2 linked regions of the Anolis sagrei genome follow. The protein of the gene in region 2 binds, or shares a complex with, the protein of the main gene of each other region. Links are inferred from orthologs where the notes say so. Each region holds a gene or a part of one and is shown on either strand. Other genes may lie near its edges.

Evidence for each region. Proteins that work in one complex are often made in the same cells at the same time.
Region 1: the proteins of SDCBP (region 2) and SDC4 are in contact, whole or in part, in a crystal structure (PDB 8BLV), measured with the Homo sapiens proteins. The link is inferred for Anolis sagrei from reciprocal best matches to the Homo sapiens genes SDCBP and SDC4. Residues at the interface, in NP_001007068.1 of Homo sapiens: Gly207, His208, Val209, Gly210, Phe211, Ile212, Phe213, Lys214, Thr219, Val222, Asp251, Ser252, Ala255, Leu258; in NP_002990.2 of Homo sapiens: Thr193, Asn194, Glu195, Phe196, Tyr197, Ala198.

Annotation. Positions count from the first base shown.
Region 1 is NC_090024.1:217,020,660-217,030,607, reverse strand, and holds the start of SDC4 (syndecan-4), read right to left. Parts: upstream 4,649-9,948; 5' UTR 4,477-4,648; intron 4,447-4,476; 5' UTR 4,421-4,446; coding exon 4,349-4,420; intron 1-4,348. UniProt on the Homo sapiens protein: Cell surface proteoglycan which regulates exosome biogenesis in concert with SDCBP and PDCD6IP.
Region 2 is NC_090024.1:48,694,148-48,704,238, forward strand, and holds the start of SDCBP (syntenin-1), read right to left. Parts: upstream 4,300-10,091; 5' UTR 4,189-4,299; intron 1,835-4,188; 5' UTR 1,777-1,834; intron 1-1,776. UniProt on the Homo sapiens protein: Multifunctional adapter protein involved in diverse array of functions including trafficking of transmembrane proteins, neuro and immunomodulation, exosome biogenesis, and tumorigenesis.

The sequences.
Region 1 (9,948 bases), about 170 Mb from region 2:
TGTTCCTATGTCTCGACATCCACTTCAGGAGGACAAGCACATAGGTCTTCTGTGAAAAGCCTGAAGCCAGGCAGATGCCTTGATAAGACTCAATGAGCACATCAACAGCACTCCTGACTGATGACAGGATTTCAGGAATGTCTTACAGATAGTGACCAGTCCCTGATTATAAAGAAAGCTGCTGATAAAGGCTGTTTTCCAAATTATCCTGAAATCTAGAGATTTCCTCAGACTCACTCACTCAAGGCCATCAAGTCAGGAATGTGCATCCCAAGGGGGTTTGTTTAGTCATTGGTTAACTAGCTTCTGTTGCAATCTGCAACAAGAGAACAATACCTTATTGCTCCAGAGAGAAAATGAGTTCATGAACACAAAAGAGAAAAAGAAGCAGTTCATTCCAGCTTATTTTTTTCTATGTAAGAGCTATGCCACTAAACAGAAGAACTAAGCAAGAAAAGTTTCCAAGTAACAAGTGTTAAAAGACTGGATGGGAGTGACGACTGTTCTCCCTTCCACATCCAAATGAAACCACGTAAGAGAGACGGTTCGTAAAACCATCCCTTTTACAAACGAAAGCTCAGAACAAAAGCAAATGTGAAAAAGTAAATTTGGGTTGCTGGGAGTTTTCTGGGCTGTATGCCATTCTCTCCTGACGTTTCACCACAGGCATCCTCAGAGGTTGAGGGGTCTTTTGGAAACTAGGCAGGTGGGGTTTATATCTTTGTGGAATGTCCATGATGGAAGAAAGAACTCTAGTCTGTTGGAGGTAAGAGTGAATGTTGCAAATGGCCACTTTTATTAGAATTGAATGGCCTTGCAGCTTCAAAGCCTGGCTGCTTCCTGCTTTGTTGGGAGGTGTTAGCTGTCCCCAATTTATTCTTGTCTGGAATTCCCCTGCTTTTTGAGTGTGGCTCTTTATTTACTGTCCTGATTTTGGAGTTTTTTGAAATACTGTTAGCCAGATTTTGTTCATTTTCATCATTTACTCCTTTCTGTTGAAATTGTCCACATGCTTGTGGATTTTAGTGGCTTCTCTGTGTAGTCTGAGTAAAGTAAATTTGGACTGGCAAGAAAGCAACGCAGGCCCAATCTATGCTGCCATCTAAAACGCAGATTCAAACTGTATTATATGGTCAGTGTGGGCTCATATAATGAAGTTTAACTGCATGGAATTGTTGGCAATGCAGAAGGGGCCATAGGCAGATGTGAAAGGAGCCAAGGAGAGGAGGCCTTAAATGTCAAGCCTTCCCCCTCTTGCACAAACCCTTTTGCTCAAATTCCACACTTCCGAACTCAAGGAGGAGACAGAAGGCTCTTATTAAAGCTTCTGGGACATCAAAACAATCTCTGGGGTAGACTTTTTCTTGACTTTCTCCCATTCTACAGCTAGGATAACCCCTCCTGCCAGCATTTTTCAAATAAATAAGCCTGAAAGCAGTGGGATTTCAAAGTTTCCCACCCCTCCTGGCTCTCTGTAGGCTTTAGATCAGTGTTACTCAACCCGAGAGTCGCGACCCCTGGGGTGGTCACAAGGGTGTGTCAGGAGTCGCCAAAGACCATCAGAAAACACAGTATTTCCTTTGGTCATGGGGATTCTGTGTGCCAAGTTTGGTTCAATTCCATCATTGGTGGGGTTCACAATGCTCTTTGATTGTAGGTGAACTATAAATCCAAGCAACTACAACACCCAAATGACAAAATCAATACACCCCCCACCCAATTCCACCCATATTGAAATTTAGACGTATTGGGTATATGTGCCAAATTTGGTCCAGTAAATGAAAATACATCCTGCATCTCAGATATTTACATCACGATTCATAACAGTAGCAAAATTACAGTTATGAAGTAGCAACAAAAATAATGGTTGAGGGTCACCACAACATGAGGAACTGTATTAAGGGGTTGTGGCATTAGGAAGGTTGAGAACCACTGCTTTAGATCAACAACACATTGCAAGGCAAGACTGTTGGGCTTGGTCAAAGGTCGCCAGGCAAAGGGTGTTTACCACCGAAAGCCCTACCTGTACAAACAACTGAAAGGTGTGCGAGGAGGAGAGGAGGCTTGGCAGGGAAGCAAGAGAAGGGAAGGCAGCGGGAATCTCTGAGTTGTTGTAGGTATTTTGAGCTGAATGGCCATGTTCCAGAAGCATTATCTCCTGACTTTTCGCCTGCATCTATGGCAGGTATCCTCAGAGGTTGTGAGGTCTGTTGGAAGCTGGGCAAGTGGGGTTTATATATCTGTGAAATGTCCAGGGTGGGCGAAAAAACTCTTGTCTCTTTAAGAGAGGTGTGAATGTTGCAATTGACCACCTTGATTAGCATTGAATGGCCTTGCAAGCTTCAAAGCCTGGCTGGTGGCTGCCTGGAGAAATCCTTTGTTGGGAGGCATTAGCTGGCCCTGATTTATTCTTGCCTGAATGTCAGTGGGAGTGGCTGTCAACTTATCAGATTTCTGTATTAATTTGGCTTTGCTATATTTGCAGCTGTATTGGAGGAAAATATTTTGTTGTTGTTTTGTTTTTCTCAAACCTATTGACATTACCTATTGGGAACTGCTGATGAAAAAGTTCAACACAAATGTGCACTTACTGTGTGGTTGTAAGTTTTCCGGCTGTACAGCCATGTTCTAGAAGCATTCTCCCCTGATGTTTCGCCCACATCTATGGCAGGCATCCTCAGAGGTTGTGAGCTCTGTTGGAAACTAGGAAGATGGGGTTTTATATATCTTTGGAGTGTCCAGGGTGGGGGAAAGAACTCTTGTCTGCTTGAGGGAAGCGTGAATGTTGCAACTGGCCACCTTGATTAGCACTGAATGGCCTTTCAGCTTCAAAGCCTGGCTAGTTGATGCCTGGGGAAATTATTTGTTGGGAAAATGGGGTTTTATAGATCTGTGGAGTGTCCAGGGTGGGAAAAAGAACTGTTGTCTGCTCAAGGCAAGTGTGAATGTTGAAATTGGCCACCTTGATTAGCACTGAATGACCTTTCAGCTTCAAAGCCTGGCTGGTTGCTGCCTGGGGAATTATTTGTTCGGAAAATTGGGTTTTATAGATCTGTGGAGTGTCCAGGGTGGGAGAAAAAAAATTCTTGTCTGCTTGAGGCAAGTGTGAATGTTGCAATTGGCCACCTTGCTTAGTACTGGATGACCTTGCAGCTTCAAAACCTGGCTGGTTGCTGTTTGGGGGGAATTATTTGTTGGGAAAATGGGGTTTTATAGATCTGTGGAGTGTCCAGGGTGGGAGAAGGAACTCTTATCTGTTGGAGGTAAGTAGGAATGTTTCTTTCTCCCACCTGGACACTCCACAGGTATATAAATCCCCATCTTCCTAGTTTCCAACAGACCTCACAAGTGGGTTGTAGGTTTTTCGGGCTATATGGCCACGTGCCAGAAGCATTCTCTCCTGACGTTTCGCCTGCATCTATGGCAAGCATCTTCAGAGGTTGTGAGGTCTCACAACCTCTGAGGATGTCTGCCACAGGAGAGAATGCTTCTGGCACGTGGCCATACAGCCCGGAAAACACACAACAACCCAGAGTCACTCCATTCCAGACTTGAAAGGTTTGCAACGTGGGGTTTCCACGGCAAGGCTGTCTCCTGAGTGACGCGAGGGCATTGCAACAGAGGCAGCCTTGGGGTCAGCGGTTGGTTGGTTGGTTGGTTACTCATGGCGCAGCTATGAGCGGGAGGAAGTGCGGGCTCGAGAAGGCACGTTCCCGGGCCCCTTGCGTTGGAATTTGGGGACGTCAGGAGTCGGAAAGGGAGGGAGGGAGAGAGAGAGAAGGGGGAGGAAGGACACGAAGGCAAGGAAGGCTCGTTTGGGGCGAAAAGGGCGCTCCTCGGCGGCCAGGTCCAGCGGGGAAGAGTTCCCGACTCAAGTCGGGAAGGAGAGCCGAGGGAATCGAGGGAGGGAGGGAGGGAGGGAAGAAAGGAAGGAGAGCGAGCCCGGGGGGAGAGGAATGCGCCGGGCTTCCCGCGAGAGAGAGAGGGAGGAAGGCAGGGAGGCAGGAGCAGACCCTTCCAAGCCCTTCCCTCGCCCTCCCGCGGGGCCTGGCAGGACGGGGGAAGTGCTTGAGTGGGGACACGGGACTTCTCAATGTTATGGAATAGGAGAACGCGACCTCTTCTTCGCGACAGGCCTTAAAAGGCTGGACGAAGGGAGAAAGACAGGCGCACAGATTTGGGAGACTCTGCCCAAGTCCGCCCAAGAGAGTTCTTCCCAAAGTTCTGGCCAAGGAGGGCGAAGGCAGGATCCCCCTCCTCGCTGCCTTGGAAGGCCGCCCTCCAAAGGGATCCCAGGGCTCCCCGATCCCACCCCAGTTGCCCCTGCCTCGGGGACCCTCCAACTCACCGATTCCCCCGTGGTGGCTGAGACCAGGAGCAGCGCCAGGAGGAGCGAGGCGGCGAAGCGCAAGGGCTGCATGGCGATGGCGGAGGGAGAGAGAGAGAGAGAGAGAGAGAGAGAGAGAGAGAGAGAGACGGCGCGCGAGGAAAAGCAAACAGCCTGGGCAGCGCGGGCACGACGGTCCTGCCTTCGCCGCCGCGCAGCCTTCTTATAATGGAGGAGGAGGAGGAGGAAGAGGCGGAGGGGGAGGAGGCCCCGCGCGTGGCCTTCCCGCCGCCGCCCTCGAGGGGGCGCAGGCCGGCCCTTCGGAGGGCTCTTGCCTCCAAACACGGGCCTCGCGGGCCTGGGCAAACTTCGGCCCTCCAGGTGTTCTGGACTCCCAACTCCCGGCAATAGTATGATAGCTGGGTCAGAAGCGATGCCGCATCGCGCCTTCGGGAACGCAGTTTACGGAAGAGAGACTTAGCTAATGTAAACCAGGAGGGAGACAGATAATATAGAAGGAATGTAAGAGTTCTTTAATGGTGACACCCAAACCCATACCCTAAGCCTAAGCCTCACCCCTTACCCTAATCAAACCCAAACCCTTACGCTAACCCAAACCCTAAACCTTACCCAAACCCTTACCCTAACCCTTATGCTAACCCAAACCCTAAACCTTATCCAAACCCTTACCCTAACCCTAACCCTTACGCCTACGCTAACTCAAACCCTAACCCTAACCCTTATGCTAACCCAAACCCTAAACCTTATCCAAACCTTATCCAAACCCTTACCCTAACCCTAACCCTTACGCCTACTCAAACCCTAACCCTAACCCTTATGCTAACCCAAACCCTAAACCTTATCCAAACCCTTACCCTAACCCTTACCCCTACGCTAACTCAAACCCTAACCCAAACCCTAAACCTTACCCTAACCCTTACCTAAACCCTTACCCTAATCCAAACCCTAAACCTTATCCAAATCCTTACCCACCCCAAACCCTAAACCCAGGCATGTAGCTGGGGGCGGGGGGGTTGGGGGGCTTGAGGGGCTTCAGCCCCCCCCCCCCCAAATTCTTATGGTGGTTTGCGAAAAGGCCTTACTGGTGCATTATTTAAACTGTTATGTTTATTCATATCATGATCTGATCACCATACTCAATATATCCCATATGCATGGGGGTATTGGGGTAATGATACAAAAGGTTTGCTTTCACTCAGACTCAGCCCCCCCCCCCCAAATGAAATCCTGGCTACGGGCCTGCCTAAACCTTACCCTAACCCTTACCCTAACCCTACCCAAACCCTTACCCTAATCCTTACCCAAACCCTAAACCTTACCCAAACCCTTACCCTAACCCTTATGCAAACTCAAACCCTGAACCTTACCCAAACCCTTACCCTAACCCTTACCCTAACCCTTATGCAAACCCAAACCCTGAACCTTACCCAAACCCTTACCCTAACCCAAACCCTAAACCTTACCCAAGCCCTTACACTAACCCTTACCCAAACCCTTTCGCTAACCCAAACCCTAAACCTTACCCTAATCCTAAACCATACCCTAACTGTAACCCCAAATCCTAACCCAAACCCAAACCCTAAACTTTGCCCTAACCCTTACCATAAGCATCTCCTCCTTTCTATCCTTCCTTCGCTCTCCTCGTTCTCACTCCACCCCCTCTCTTCCCTTATTCACAGCCACCTTTGCGGCATCTCTGTAACACTTGGTGCTTCCGGACCGAGCTGTCATACTATCACCCAACTCCCACCATTCCTAACAGCCTCAGCCCCTCTAAAATTATAACATCAAATAAAGAACAACACTCCAACATAGAGGAACTCTAGACAAGAAACAACCAGGGACAGCTAATTACTTCTCAACAAAGGATTCCCCCAGGCAGTAACAAGCTATATCTAAAAACTGCCAGGCCATCAAATGCTAATCAAGGTGGCCAGTTGAAACATTCACGTCTACCTTCAACAGACAAGAGTTCTTTCTCCCACCCTGGACACTCCACAGATGTATAAATTCAATTTTCCTAGTTTCCAACAGACCTCACAACCTCTAAGGATGCCTGCCATAGATGCAGACAAAGCATCAGAAAAGAATGCTTCTAGAACATGGCCATATAGCCCAAAAAACCAACAACCCAGGCAGGCATCTTCGGAAGTTGTGAAGTCTGTTGGAAACTAGGAAAATGAGATTTATATATCTGCGGAAAGGAGTACGGCAGGGCTGTATATTCTCACCCAATCAATTCAATGTGTATTCAGAACACATTGTTGACGAATCCAAGGCTGGAGTTAAAATTGCTGGACAAAACATTAACAACCTTAGATATGCAACCTTAGATGGTACCACTTTGATGGCTGAAAGCGAGGAGGAGCTGAGGAGCCTTCTAAGCAAGGTGAAAGAAGAAAGTGCAAAAGCTGGGTTGCAGTTAAACATAAAAAACCCTCAAGATTATGGCAACTGGACTGATGGATAACTGGCAAATAGAGGGAGAAAATGTGGAGGCAAGACAGACTTTTATTTCTAGGTGCAAAGACTACTGCAGACGCAGATTGCAGACAGGAAATCAGAAGACGTTTACTTCTTGAGAGGAGAGCAATGACCAATAGTGAAGTGTAGAGACATCACACTGGCAGTGAAGATCCACATAATTAAAACAATGGTATTCCCTGTAGTAACCTATGGATGTGAGAGCTGGACCATAAGGAAGGCTGAGCAAAGGAAAATAGACACTTTTGAGCTGTAGTGCTGGAGGAAAATTCTGAGAGTGCCTTGGACCGCCAAAAGATCCAACCAGTCCATACTTCAGGAAATAAAGCTGACTGCTCATTGAAGGGAAGGATATTAGAGGCAAAGATGAAGTACTCTGGTCACATAGAGAAGACAGAAAAGCTTGGAGAAAACAATGATGCTGGGGAAAATGGAAGGAAAAAGGAAGAGGGGCTGATCAAGGGCAAGATGGAGTGAAGTGACTGGATTGACCTTGAAGGAGCTGAGGGTGGCGACGGCCAACCAGGAGCTCTGGCATGGGTTGGTCCATGAGGTCACGAAGAGTCAGAAGCAACTGAACAAATAAACAACAACAAGCTCAGTGTGGCCAGTGGTTAGATTCCCCGATTGGATTCATGGAGATTTTCCAGAGTGGTTCCTGGCTAGTGAAACCAGTGGAAGCTGTAGCATATATCATTATGCTACAATAGGGGAAGTTTTACCTGTTGACTTCTGCCAGCCTTCCTGCTGTCCCATCTGTCCTGTCCTCTGATTTGTTGAACACCAGGCCACCCACTCATGTCAAGACTTGACCATGTTATTGCTATTGCTCTTGGTTTTGACACCGGTTTTATATTTTGTATGTTGTAGTTGTTATTTTAATTTGCTGTTGATGACTCTGGTGTGCTATGTTTTAATTTCTGTTATCAGGGCTGCCCCGAGTCCCTTCGGGGAGATGGGGGCGGGGTATAAAAAATAAAGTTATTAAAGAGAGAGAAACAGAACCCATGTGCAAAGGGCAGCATTTGCTGCATTTGCATTTGCTGCAGGCCTCCTTATAAAATCATAGAGGAAGAGACCTCACAGGCCATCCAATCCAACCCCTGCCAAGAAGCAGGAAAATCACATTCAAAGCACCCCTCACAGATGGTTATCCAGCCTCTGTTTAAAAGCCTCCAAAGAAGGAGCCTCCACCACACTCAGGGGCAGAGAGTTCCACTGCTGAACAGCACTCACAGTTAGGAAGTTCTTCCTTGTGTTCAGGTGGCATCTCCTTTCCTGTAGTTTGAAGCCATTGTTCCATGTCCTAGTCTCCAGGGCAGCAGAAAACAAACTTGCTCTCTCCTCCCTATGACTTCCCCTCACGTCTTGATACATGGCCATCATCATGTCTCCCCTCAGCCTTCTCTTCTGCAGTCTAATCATGCCCAGCTCTTTCAGTTGGACCCCACAGGGCTTGTTCTCCAGACCCTTGATTGTTTTAGTCTCCCTCCTCTGGACCCATTCCCGCTTGTCAACATCTCCCTTCAGTTGTGGTGCCAAGAACTGGACACAGTGTGATTCCAGGTGTGGTCTGACCAAGGCAGAATAGAGGGTTAGCATGACTTCCCTGGATCTAGACACGTCTCGCAGGCCAAAATCCTATTGGCTTTTTTTTGCCACTGCATGACATTGTTGTCTCATTTTTTAACTTGTTGTACATGAGGACTCCAAGATCTATTTCACACGTACTGCTGCCGAGCCAGGCGCCCATTCTGTATCTTTGCATTTCATTTTTGTCTGCCTAAGAGGAGTATCTTGCATATGTCCCTGTTGAACTTCATCTTGTTAGTTTTGGCCCAAGGCAGCTGTCCTTTTGGGGCATCCTGTGCAAGTTATACTGTTTCAAGCTTGAAAGGGGAACAGACATATACCAGAAGTTCCCAGTTTGGGATTTGTACATAAGTGGCATCCCTGTGTTGTGATCTCTTTTAGGATATTTTAGGATGAATCCTTATAGCAATCTTAGCAATGAGAATAAGCCTAGAAAAAGAGTGGCTCCCTCCAGGGCCGAAGACCAGACTGTGACACAGATTCGAACTGAACTACTTGAAGTGGTGGTCCATGTAGCACTGCTGGTCACAAGCCTTCATCTGCTAGTCCTTGGAGAATTTCCAGAAAAGAACTGTAGCCAGTGGAGATAAATATCTCAGTCCCTGGCATATATGAGGAAGAAATGTTGGGTCAACACATCAGACTGCCTGTTATACTGGGAACCTGAGAAGCACCGGTTTAGACTCTCTGGGCTTTTCAGCATTACTTATAACAAGCTGGTTGTAACTCACAAGAGACACTTTCATGGTTTGGACAACCCACTGTGAACACATTGTAACACTGTTCCAAAGCCATGCTGTTTTCAGTCTAAGTTTTTGAAAAGACTATTGTTCCTTTTTCTAAGTGAGACTCTGACTACCATTTATTTATTTATTTATCTACTATATTTATACCCTGCCCTCTCTCACCCCGAAGGGGGCTCAGAGCCACTAAAAAGTTACACACAAACACACACACACACATATGTATATATATATATATATATATATATATATATATATATATATATACACACATACATATACATACATACAATATATTATATTAGCCTAGCACAATATTAGTATTATAAATTACTGAATTGTATCATACCACTATACTGCAATATTATTAGCAATATAATTATTATATTATTATATTGTATTATTATCAGTATTATAATGTCTTACATTCTAATATTAGGATCAATATTATATGTAAGGTAAAGGTAAAGGTAGTCCCCTGACATTAAGTCCAGTCATGTCTGACTCTGGGGTGTGGTGCTCATCTCCATTTCTAAGCCGAAGAGCCAGCATTGTCTGTAGACACCTCCAAGGTCATGTGGCCGGCATGACTGCATGGAGCGCCGTTATATGTACATACAATATATTATATTAGCATATCACAATATAGGTATTATATATTACTGTATTTTATTATACCACCATACTGCAATATTATTAGCAATATTAGTAATATAATTATTATATTGTATTGTATTATCAGTATTATAATGTATTACATTATAATATTAGGATCAATAT
Region 2 (10,091 bases):
ATCTTCTGAAAACAAAACTAATGCATTAGGGATGTTAAGCTTTCCCCATGCTATTCAATCTATCTATCTATCTTTGGATGGAGTTACACTTAAAATATACCTGTTCCAACTTACAAACACACTCAACTGAAGAACCTATCTTGTTCATAACTTTGGGAATGCTTGTATACCACATATACATATACATGCAAATGGCAGAAGAAGGGAGGCAATTCAAATGAACTGGAAAAATAGTTAAAAGAGTATAAGAGTGACTGGATGATTAGTTTAAAAAGCACTAAAGGAAATCAATGAGACTGCAGAGAAATTTATCTTTCTTCACTTCCTATGATATGCCGTATATCACATATCCATTGCTTCATCTGATATTCTCAGGAAAGCGACAAACAGAAACAAACAGTGGTGACAAGTTATGAAATTCTAGACTCTGCTGACAAAAATGAAAACAAGCCACAAGATTCAAATAGTGACCTCATCAAAGCTGATCAAATATAGTAGTCATGAGAGAAGACATTATATTTTGGACCAGTAACTGGTTATACAAAACACAGGGAGTAAGAATACATGGACACATCTTGCAATGATATACTACAAAAATCAGATTTCCCGTAGGCCAGTACTTTTTTTTTTTTTGTCATGTGAGGAGCGACTTGAGAAACTGCAAGTTGTTTCTGGTGTGAGAGAATTGGCCGTCTGCAAGGACGTTGCCCAGGGGACGCCAGGGCAGTACTGAAATTGGCTTTTGCTATCATGTTAAAAAATGCAGTGGAAATAAGGCTAAGAAATGAGATGGTAAAGCTGACTAAATCAAAATTGTTTAAGCAAATTGAAACAAATGAAATTACAAAGTTCCAAACTAGGGAAATGGGTACTAAAATAGCAAAGGCAATTCATTCTAAACAAATGTAAGGTGATACTGAAAGACACACATGCTCAATTCTAATATCACATATACAGTGAAAGGAAATGACTTCGCAATGAAAGTGAATTGCTAGGAAAATTATGATGGTATATTGCTCAATGCATATGTTTAAGCAAAAGGAATTCCTGTATGGTGGGATCTGTTTGGGAAAAAAACTGAAGCCACAAATATCAATCTTTTGTACAGTTCTATGCTGCTTCAACGCCTATAATAAGCTACTGAATTTGGGTCATCATATCTTAAGACATACAGGTGAGTTCAATTTACATTACTCACAACCAGAATGCATAGCTCTCTCAGCACACCTGAGAAGTGGAGTGAAACAGAGGTGAGTGTGTGAGAAAGGTGAGTTGAGCTGAGATGCAGCTTTGCCATAAAGCGACTGGACAGTGTTACCTTCCTAAGCTGGAGGAATGGGAAAAGTAACTGCAGTCTTGTTATCACTGAATGAAAGGGTTACAATAGGAAAAAGTACACTTTGCTAGTGGGTAACAGTATCAACAGTCACTTGTGGTGAGATAACTGAAATGGCCATCTTTGTTGTTACCCAGTTCCTTACGTCAGTTACAATAAAAGTCTAGGAGACCAACTTTAACACAAACTGAAACTCCTCTGTGTATTGCAGAGCAGATGAAAACATAGAAAATAGCCAGCCAATAGCTAGTGACCTGAGGAAGCCTCACTATAAGTCAACGTAATATTTTAGCTTAGAAAATAGCAAGAGAAAATAATAAAGGTATGTAAAACTATGTATGAAACAGCATCAACTTCCCAAAACCGGGAAGGGGGATTTCGAGCTAAAACAGTTTGTCAAACAATTATCTCAACAAATTCTGGTAATACTAGTGACTCACATGTTTTGGAAACTCTGATGGGGAATTAGATGGCTCTTCAGAAACAAAATACTGTAATCTATTGTAAAACAGAACACAAAATAATACAATATCACTATATTTTCTCATCCAGATTTTACACTGAAATTGAAAACATGGATGTAGTACTGAACACCTTTACTAGCCATTCAGCCTTACAGAACCCAGTAGACTTTATTGCAAACAAAAACATAGAACTTACTGAATTTACCCTCAGTAGTCATCTAATATTATTAAATACAAAAGTTAGGATGGACCATGTGAGACCTGAACAGGTCTGTTGACTTGAGGGAATGTCTCAACTGACCACTTAATATAGATTGAAGGCGGGATTGTCCCATGCACAGGGTTGCCAAAAGTAAAGTCAATTCTAGGATAGCTAGCAACCACCATATGGTCACATGTACACACAGAGATGACAGAGAATGTATATATTAAGACATAGTTGGAATCAAGGCAGCAACCAATACACCCCAATTTTATCTCTCTTGGTTTGTGGTTTTAAAAACCAAAACAGGCAACTCCTAGTAACATCTAAAGTACACACACCCGCAGCAATGGAAAAGACATCACGTCACGCAGAAAAACCAACAACTTCCTTCTCCCACCTTTCAGCAAACATCCTGTAACAAAACTGAAAATGGATGCCTCCTCCTCCTCCATTTGTGACTCCTCTGAGGAATCAAAGCCTCTCAGTGCTTCTCTCCCCCACCAACCAAGAACCTATTTCAAGGAAAAAGGGAACTGGCAAAGCTTTTGCTTGCCTCTCCTCCTTCCCTCCCTGCTCAATCTGGGCCTCTGTCCCAAGTAGGAGGAGGAGGGGGGAGAAGGAGAAAGGAGGGAGTGAAGAAGGGGAATGAGAAAGCAGAGGAAGAGAGAGAGGAAGAGGGGGGGGGGAAGAAAAGAAGGGTGGAAGAGCAGGAGAAGGGAAAAAGAGGAAAACTTATGAAAATTTGAGAGAGAATGGGGAGGAAGAGGAGGAAGAAGAGAAGGAGAAAGAGGCTGGAAAGAAAGGAGGACAGATGAAAGTGAGAAAGGAAGAGGAGTACGAGGAGGAACAAAATGAGAGAGAAAGGGAGGAAGGGAGAAGGAGAAAGTAAGAGAAAGAAGAGGTGAAGGAGGAGAAAGAGGAGGGGAGAAAATTAGGATGGGGATATGAGGAGGAAGAAGAAATGGAGGAAGGGGGAGAGGAAGAGAAAGAAGTGGGGAAGGAGGAGAAAGAGAAGGAGAAAGAGGAGGTGGAGAAGAACGAGAACAGATGAAAATTAGAGAGGGGGAGTACGAGGAAGAGAAGGAGAAAGGAGGAGGAAGGGGCAGAGGAAGAGAAAGAACAGGAGGAGGAGGAGAAAGAGAAGGGGGAGAAGAAGGAGGACATGTGAAAATTAGAGAAGGGGAGTACAAGGAGGGGCAGGAAGAGAAAGAAGAGGGGAAGGAGGAGAAAGAGAAGGAGAAAGAGGAGAGGGAGAAGAAGGAGGACAGATGAAAATTAGAGAGGGAGAGTACAAGGAGCAAGAGGAGGAGAAAGGAGGGAGAGAAGGAGAAAGAATGAGAAAGAAGAGAAGGGGGAAGAAGAGAAAGAGGGAAGGAAAAGGAAGAGGAGAAAGAGGCAGAGAAGGAGGAGGGCAGATGAAAATTGGAGAGGAGTAGTACAGGAGGAAGGGAAGGAGAAAGAGGAGGGGGAGAAGCAGGAGGACAGATGAAAATTAGAAAAGAGAGGGAGTAGGAGGAGGAAGAGAAAAAAGAAGACGAGAGAGAGAGAGAAGGAGAAAGAAGCAGAGGTGAAGAAAAGATGAAAATTAAGAAAGAGAGGAGTACGAGGAGGAAGAGAAGAAAGAAGAGGAGAGAGAGAGGAGAAAGAAGAAGAGGTGGAGAAGAACAGATGAATATTAGAGAGAAGGGGGAGTACGAGGAGCAGCAAGAGGAGAAAGAAGAGGAGGGGAGGGAGAGGATGGAGTAGGAAGAGGGCGGGGGAGGTGAGTAAACCCCTCTCGCTGCCAAACGTCTTGTGTGTGTGTGTGTGTTGGGGAGGGGGCTTCAGGCGCTCTCCCTTTCTCTCCCAGACTCAGACGACCCTCCCCTTCTCTTCAGACACGTCTCGCCTCAGACCGAGACAAGGAGCAACAGCAGCCATACAAATCAAGGGGTGCCCACACACAAACACACACACTTTTCTTCCTCAGGTGACAAACAATCCCCACAAAATCACAAATGTGCGGGCTACGGAGGCGTCGCTTCTATTTGAGGAGGGTCCGAGGAACTAGGCCTCCTTTTCTGAGGGAGAAAGAAGGCGCCTCTCCCACCCCAACCCCACGGCCCTTGATCCACCCCAGGCCCCGGCCTCCCTCCCTCTCTCCCTCTCACACAAACACGGTTTTTGCTTCAAGTCGTTCTCACCGAGCGGCCTTGGCGACGACTCCTCTCCTCAGCCCGTTAGGCGACGACTCGAAGGCGGAGGTGCTTCCAGGAGGAACTGCCAGGGAGGGAGGGAGATAGGGAGGGAGAGACCTCCGCGCATGCGCAGACGCCTGCCCCCGGGAAGGCTCGTGACCGTGGGTGAAGGGACAGAAGGGAAAGCGCGGGAGGAGTCAAGGCTGGCTGGTGGGAGCCGCCTCCACTCTCTTTCTGAGAAGGGCTGGGAAACTTCTGTTCATATAATCCTTAAGTTGGAAGAGACCACAAGGGCCTCTGTACTATTGATCAGGTATGGGCAAGCTGGGGTAAAAAATGCTGCAAGAAACATTAACAACCTTAGATATGCAGATGATACCACTTTGATGATACCACTTGGTGGTATGGGCATACCAAATCACCTTGTCTTTTTCTTGAGGCAGACATGTAGCGGGGGGGGGGGGGCTTGAGGGGCTTCAGCCCCCCCCCCCCCCCCCGAAATTCTCATGGTGGTTCACGAAAAGTATGATATCTGGGATCCAATGCTGGTTGCATGTCACGGGTCAGAATTAGAGAAGCGAAGATATAACATATTTGAATGTGTTTGCATATGATATCCGGATAGCCTTAAGCACTATGCTCGGCTGTCCGTTCCCCCCCTTTCTGCCCCCGTTTCTGCCCTCCCCCCTTTCTGGCAAGCTATCTTGCCACGACTCTGTCACACCTGCATCTCTCACTTGCTGCGCTGTCTCAGCATTGGGTTCCAGCTATCATAGTTTCGCCCAGTTCCCAACAACTCAGCAAAGGTGATGGGTGTTCCACCCCAGGGAAAAAAAACAACATGGAGAGGGCCATGTGCTGAACTGAAACCAGGGAGCCTTTCTCATTAGGGCACATCTACACTGTAGAAATAATGCAGTTTGATGGCACTTTAACTGCCATGACTTGATGCTATGGAATCACATGAGTTGTAGTTTTACAAGGCCTTGAGCCTCCTCTGCCAAAGAGTGGTGGTACCTCGCCAAACTACAACTCTGAGATTTCCCATCACTTTTCTAATGAGTTTCAACATGGTATTGACCAGGCATGGGCAAACTTGGGCCCTCCAGGTGTTTTGGACTTCAACTCCCAGAATTCCTAACAGCTTCAGGCCCTTTCCTTTTCACTTAAGTGGCTGATGGGGGAAAGGGGCTGTTAGGAATTCTGGGAGTTGAAGTCCAAAACACCTAGAGGGCCTGTATTGACCATCACAGTATCTCTGATCAACATTTTTTGTTGAGGTAGTCATCACATTTCCTGAATTGTTTTGTTTTGGTTTTGTTTTGTTTGGGGTTTTTTTTGCCCCAGTGAGTCATTTTACTCCTTGTTTCCCCAGTTTGAAAAAGTAACCTGCAATCTAGTTTTGTTTTAACAGCTAATGATTTTGCATTATCAGCAAATCTCGGCACTTCACTATTCACCCCTCATTAACCAGTTAAAAACAGATTTTTTAAAAATTGTAAAATCTTGAGTGTGCATAATAACTGTTCAGCGATGGCTTTTTCATATATGCAGGTTGTCACTTGATTTCTGCTACAGGAATGTATGAACTAGTTCCATATATTAAATTGGGTTACTCTTTTTTTTCCATCAAGGTACATTTATATGAGAGGGAACTTCAAAGCAATGTGGTTCTTTGATCACATTTTATAATATTTTGAAGAACATTTACCTCTGAAAGTTTGCTGAAGAGGAAAATACTATAATGTGTTTGTATTCACTTCTCCCAACTTGTCTCATGACAAACAGCTGTGTTCCTCATATTTTGTTTACTGTGAAAAACAGTTGAGTTCTGGTGTCTAAGCAGCTGATTTCTTGGTGTTGCAGATTTTCAGCAAACCCCACAGTTGATTCAAATTGATTTGCACAACGCAGCCCTGTTTAAGAAAAATTAAATCTTCACAGTTTTTTTTTCAGATATGAGGCACATTATTTCACAATCGCATCATGGCATGTCTGTTATTGAATTATAGAATGATTCAGAGGCCCCATCTACACTGACCAGATAGTAGAGTTTAATTGCACTGAACTGCATTATATGGTAGTGTAGACTCATATAATGCTGTTCAATGCAATTAAACTGTTTTATGAAACCACTATATTGTCGATGATGATGATGATGATTGGAACTTATGTCACAAGTACCACCTGCCAGTAGTAAAGATTTCTTGGAAATTCCCAGTGTCAAGACCTTGCGTCTAACAGCAACCAGACGCAGAGCCTTTACTGCAGTGACACCATCACATTGGAATACTCTGCCAACTGAAGTCCGTGCCTTGCGGGACTTATCAGCTTTCCGCAGGGCATGTAAGACATATCTGTTTCGACGGGCCTTTGATCTTTGATTGCTGTTTTTAAATTGTTTTAAATTGTTTTTAAATTGTGTTCAATTTTAGCCTGTTCTTGTAAGCCGCTCCGAGCCCCAGGGGAGTGGCGGCATATACGTTCAAATAATAAAATAAATAAATAAATAATTGGTGGGATCATAAACCTGCAAAGGTCGTGGAAAATGAGCACGCAAAAATACTGAGGGACTTCTGAATCCAAACTGACAAAGTTTTGGAACACAATATGCCAGACATCATGACTGTGGAAAAGAAAAAAGTTTGGATTATTGATGTTGCCACACCAGGTGACAGTCGCATTGAGGAGAAACAACAAGAAAAACTCAGCCATTATCAGGACCTCAAAATCGAACTGCAAAGGCTCTGGCATAGACCAGTACAGGTGGTCCCAGTGGTGATCGGCACACTGGGTGCCGTGCCAAAAGATCTCAGCTGGCATTTGGAAACAATAAACATTGACAAAATGACGATCTGTCAGCTGCAAAAGGCCACCTTACTTGGATCTACACGCATCATTTGAAAACACATCACACAGTCCTAGGCGCTTGGAAAGTGTTTGACTTGTGATTTTGTGATACGACTTCCAGCATATATCTCTCGTTGGTTGTGACATACTGTGTTTTTGTATCAATAATAATAATTAATTATTTGTATCCCACTTTAATCCTTAAACAGGATCCAAAGTGGCTCACAACATTATGTTAAAGCAATACGAAACAATATACATACGTAAAACAAAACTTCTAAAAACAATTTACAATAAAGATAAGTAAACATATTTAAAAACATTTATCCAATACAGTTATTACAGGTAACTCAATAGAAAGATGATAAACGTAGGACAGCTCAATAAAAGTTTACCTTCCTGTCATTACAGCTAAGTATCTTCATCAAAGGCTTCTAGACGGGGCCTGACAGTGAATTAACAATGCAGTTTGACACCACTTTAGCGCCCATGGCTCTATGCTAGGCAGGCATGTAGCCGGGGGGGGGGGGCTATGGGGGCTTCAGCCCCCCCCCCCCCGAAATTCTCATGGTGGTCCGCGAGAAGGCCTTACTGGTACATTATTTAAACTGTTATGTTTATTAATATCATGATCTGATCATCATTCTCAATATTCTCAACTAGTCCAACGCTCGGCAGCCATGATTTTAACAGGAGCGGAGCGCAGGGAGCATACAACCCCCCAGTTGCGCCAACTCCACTGGCTACCGATCTGCTACCGGGCTGAATTCAAAGTGCTGGCGTTGGCCTTTAAAGCCCTAAACGGTTCCGGCCCTAGCTACCTATCTGACCGCATCTCTGCCTATGAACCCACGAGGAGTTTGAGATCTTCCGGGGAGACCCTGCTCTCGATCCCGCCTGCTTCTCAAGCTCGGCTGGCGGGGACGAGAGATAGGGCCTTCTCGGTGGTGGCTCCTCGGCTGTGGAACGCCCTTCCTACGGACATTAGACTAGCACCATCTCTAATGGTATTCCGCAAAAAGGTGAAGACCTGGATGTTTGTGCAGGCATTTGAGTAATTTAGTGCAATCTGGTAATTGGAACATAGGAATGGAACAATGGACGACGAACCTGGACTACGCTTGGATGATGAGAAGATTGGGTACGGTTGTTTTTTGTAATAATTGTGCATTGTAATTGCTTATTGGTAATTTATGGATAATGTGTTAAGTCAATTGTTATATGTTGTATGGAACCACTGCTGTTTCTACTGTTTTTACTGTTTGTGAACCGCCGTGAGTCGCCTTCGGGCTTGAGATATAGCGGTATATAAGCAAAGTAAATAAATAAATAAATAAATAAATATATCCCAGATGTATGGGGGTATTGGAGTAACAATACAAAAGGTTTGCTAGGGTAGACCCTCTTTCACCCAGAACCCCCCCCCCCCCCCGAATCAAAATCCTGGCTACGGGCCTGATGCTAGGGAATCATAGGAGTTGTAGTTTAGTGAGGTACCAACAGTCTTTCACAGATTAAACACCCTGTAAAACTACAACTTTTAGGATTACATAGCATTTAAGACATGGCAGTTAAAGTGGTGCCAAACTATTCATTTGACAGTGTAGATTCAACTTAAGGCTCCTTGTTGTTTTGTGGGACACTGGCGATCTGCACAGGCACATTTGTGTTATGATTTAGATGTTCTTTAGTTTTAGAATTGTTTAATCATATGTTCATAGATTTTAATTTGATGCAGTTTGCATCTTTTCTTTTTCCTGTGCAGTTCTAAATCTAGTCTCCTTTGTTTATGAAGCCTTCTTAATTTCAGTCCCTATTCTTTATTAATGTATTCTATTTCATAATTGATACCTCTGGAGACTTTGCAGGTTGTGAGGAAACCACATTTGAACTCTTTTACCTGCTCAAAAGTGAATTCAAGGCATGTCAAGATGTCTTTGAAGGAAAAGGAGGAGTTTAAGTAATTCCAAAATTTGAGCTTCAAAAATATTTATTCTTCACTTTTAGTTGCATACTTATTAACTCAGTGTAAGGAATTAAATGGGTAACAGCAGTAATGATGCTATGGGGAATGAAGAGTAAATAATCTCATCCAAATTTATCAGATGGCTCAGTCTAATTGCCAGACATGAGAGAAGCCTCCTCACAGGATTGCAAGACATCTGGGCGTCCCCTGGGCAACATCTTCGTAGACGGCTGATTCTCTCACTCCAGAATGTGTTTTTGTGTTTTGTCTGTTTGTTCTGTTCTGTTAGAAATGTAATATAATTGTCTGGTTGCCCCTGACACGATAAATAAAATAAATATTGCCAGACTGTATCTTCCAACATCCTTACTCCTTTGATAGTCAAGCTGGGGATGATGGGAGCTGCAGCCCAACAAAAGGGCCAAGCCATCTGACCAGTTAAGAGGATAATGACAAGTTGCACCCTACCCAGACCTGGAGCTGATGGAAATTGTAGCCTGATAAAGTAGGGCTGATGGGAGTTGTAGCTGGCCCGATGTGGGGCTGATGGGAATGCTCAGAACTAACCACAAAAGGGCAGTAAAGCCTTGCCATAGAAACCAAAATCAATGTGTAGTCAGTGCTTGAGGGACAAAGAAAGAACTGCTTTTTCTGCATGGTGAAAAATTATGTTTTTTTAATCAGATTAGGTGGTTGTGAAATGCCTACAACCCCCCCCCCCCCCACACACACACACACACAGTGGACAAGTCTTTCCAAAGGCAGAGAAAGTACAATTCCTGTGAGCATGACAACTTAAGAATGAGTGGGAAATAGCCAGCTGTGATCCCAAGAGATTACTAGAGCAGGTATGGGTAAACCTAGGTCCAGGGGCCGGATGTGGCCCCTTGGGCTCTTTTCCCAGCCCTCCTCTCTCCCACCATCCTATCCTTCCCTCCCTCCCTCCCTTACCTTCCTCTTTCTGCCTCCCTTCCACCCTTCCACCCTTTTGTCTTTCCTTCCCTCTTTCCTTCCTCCTTCCCTCTCTCTCTTTCTCCTTTCTTCCTTTCCCCCTTTGTATTTCCTTTTGTCCCCCTTCCCTCCTCCATTATCT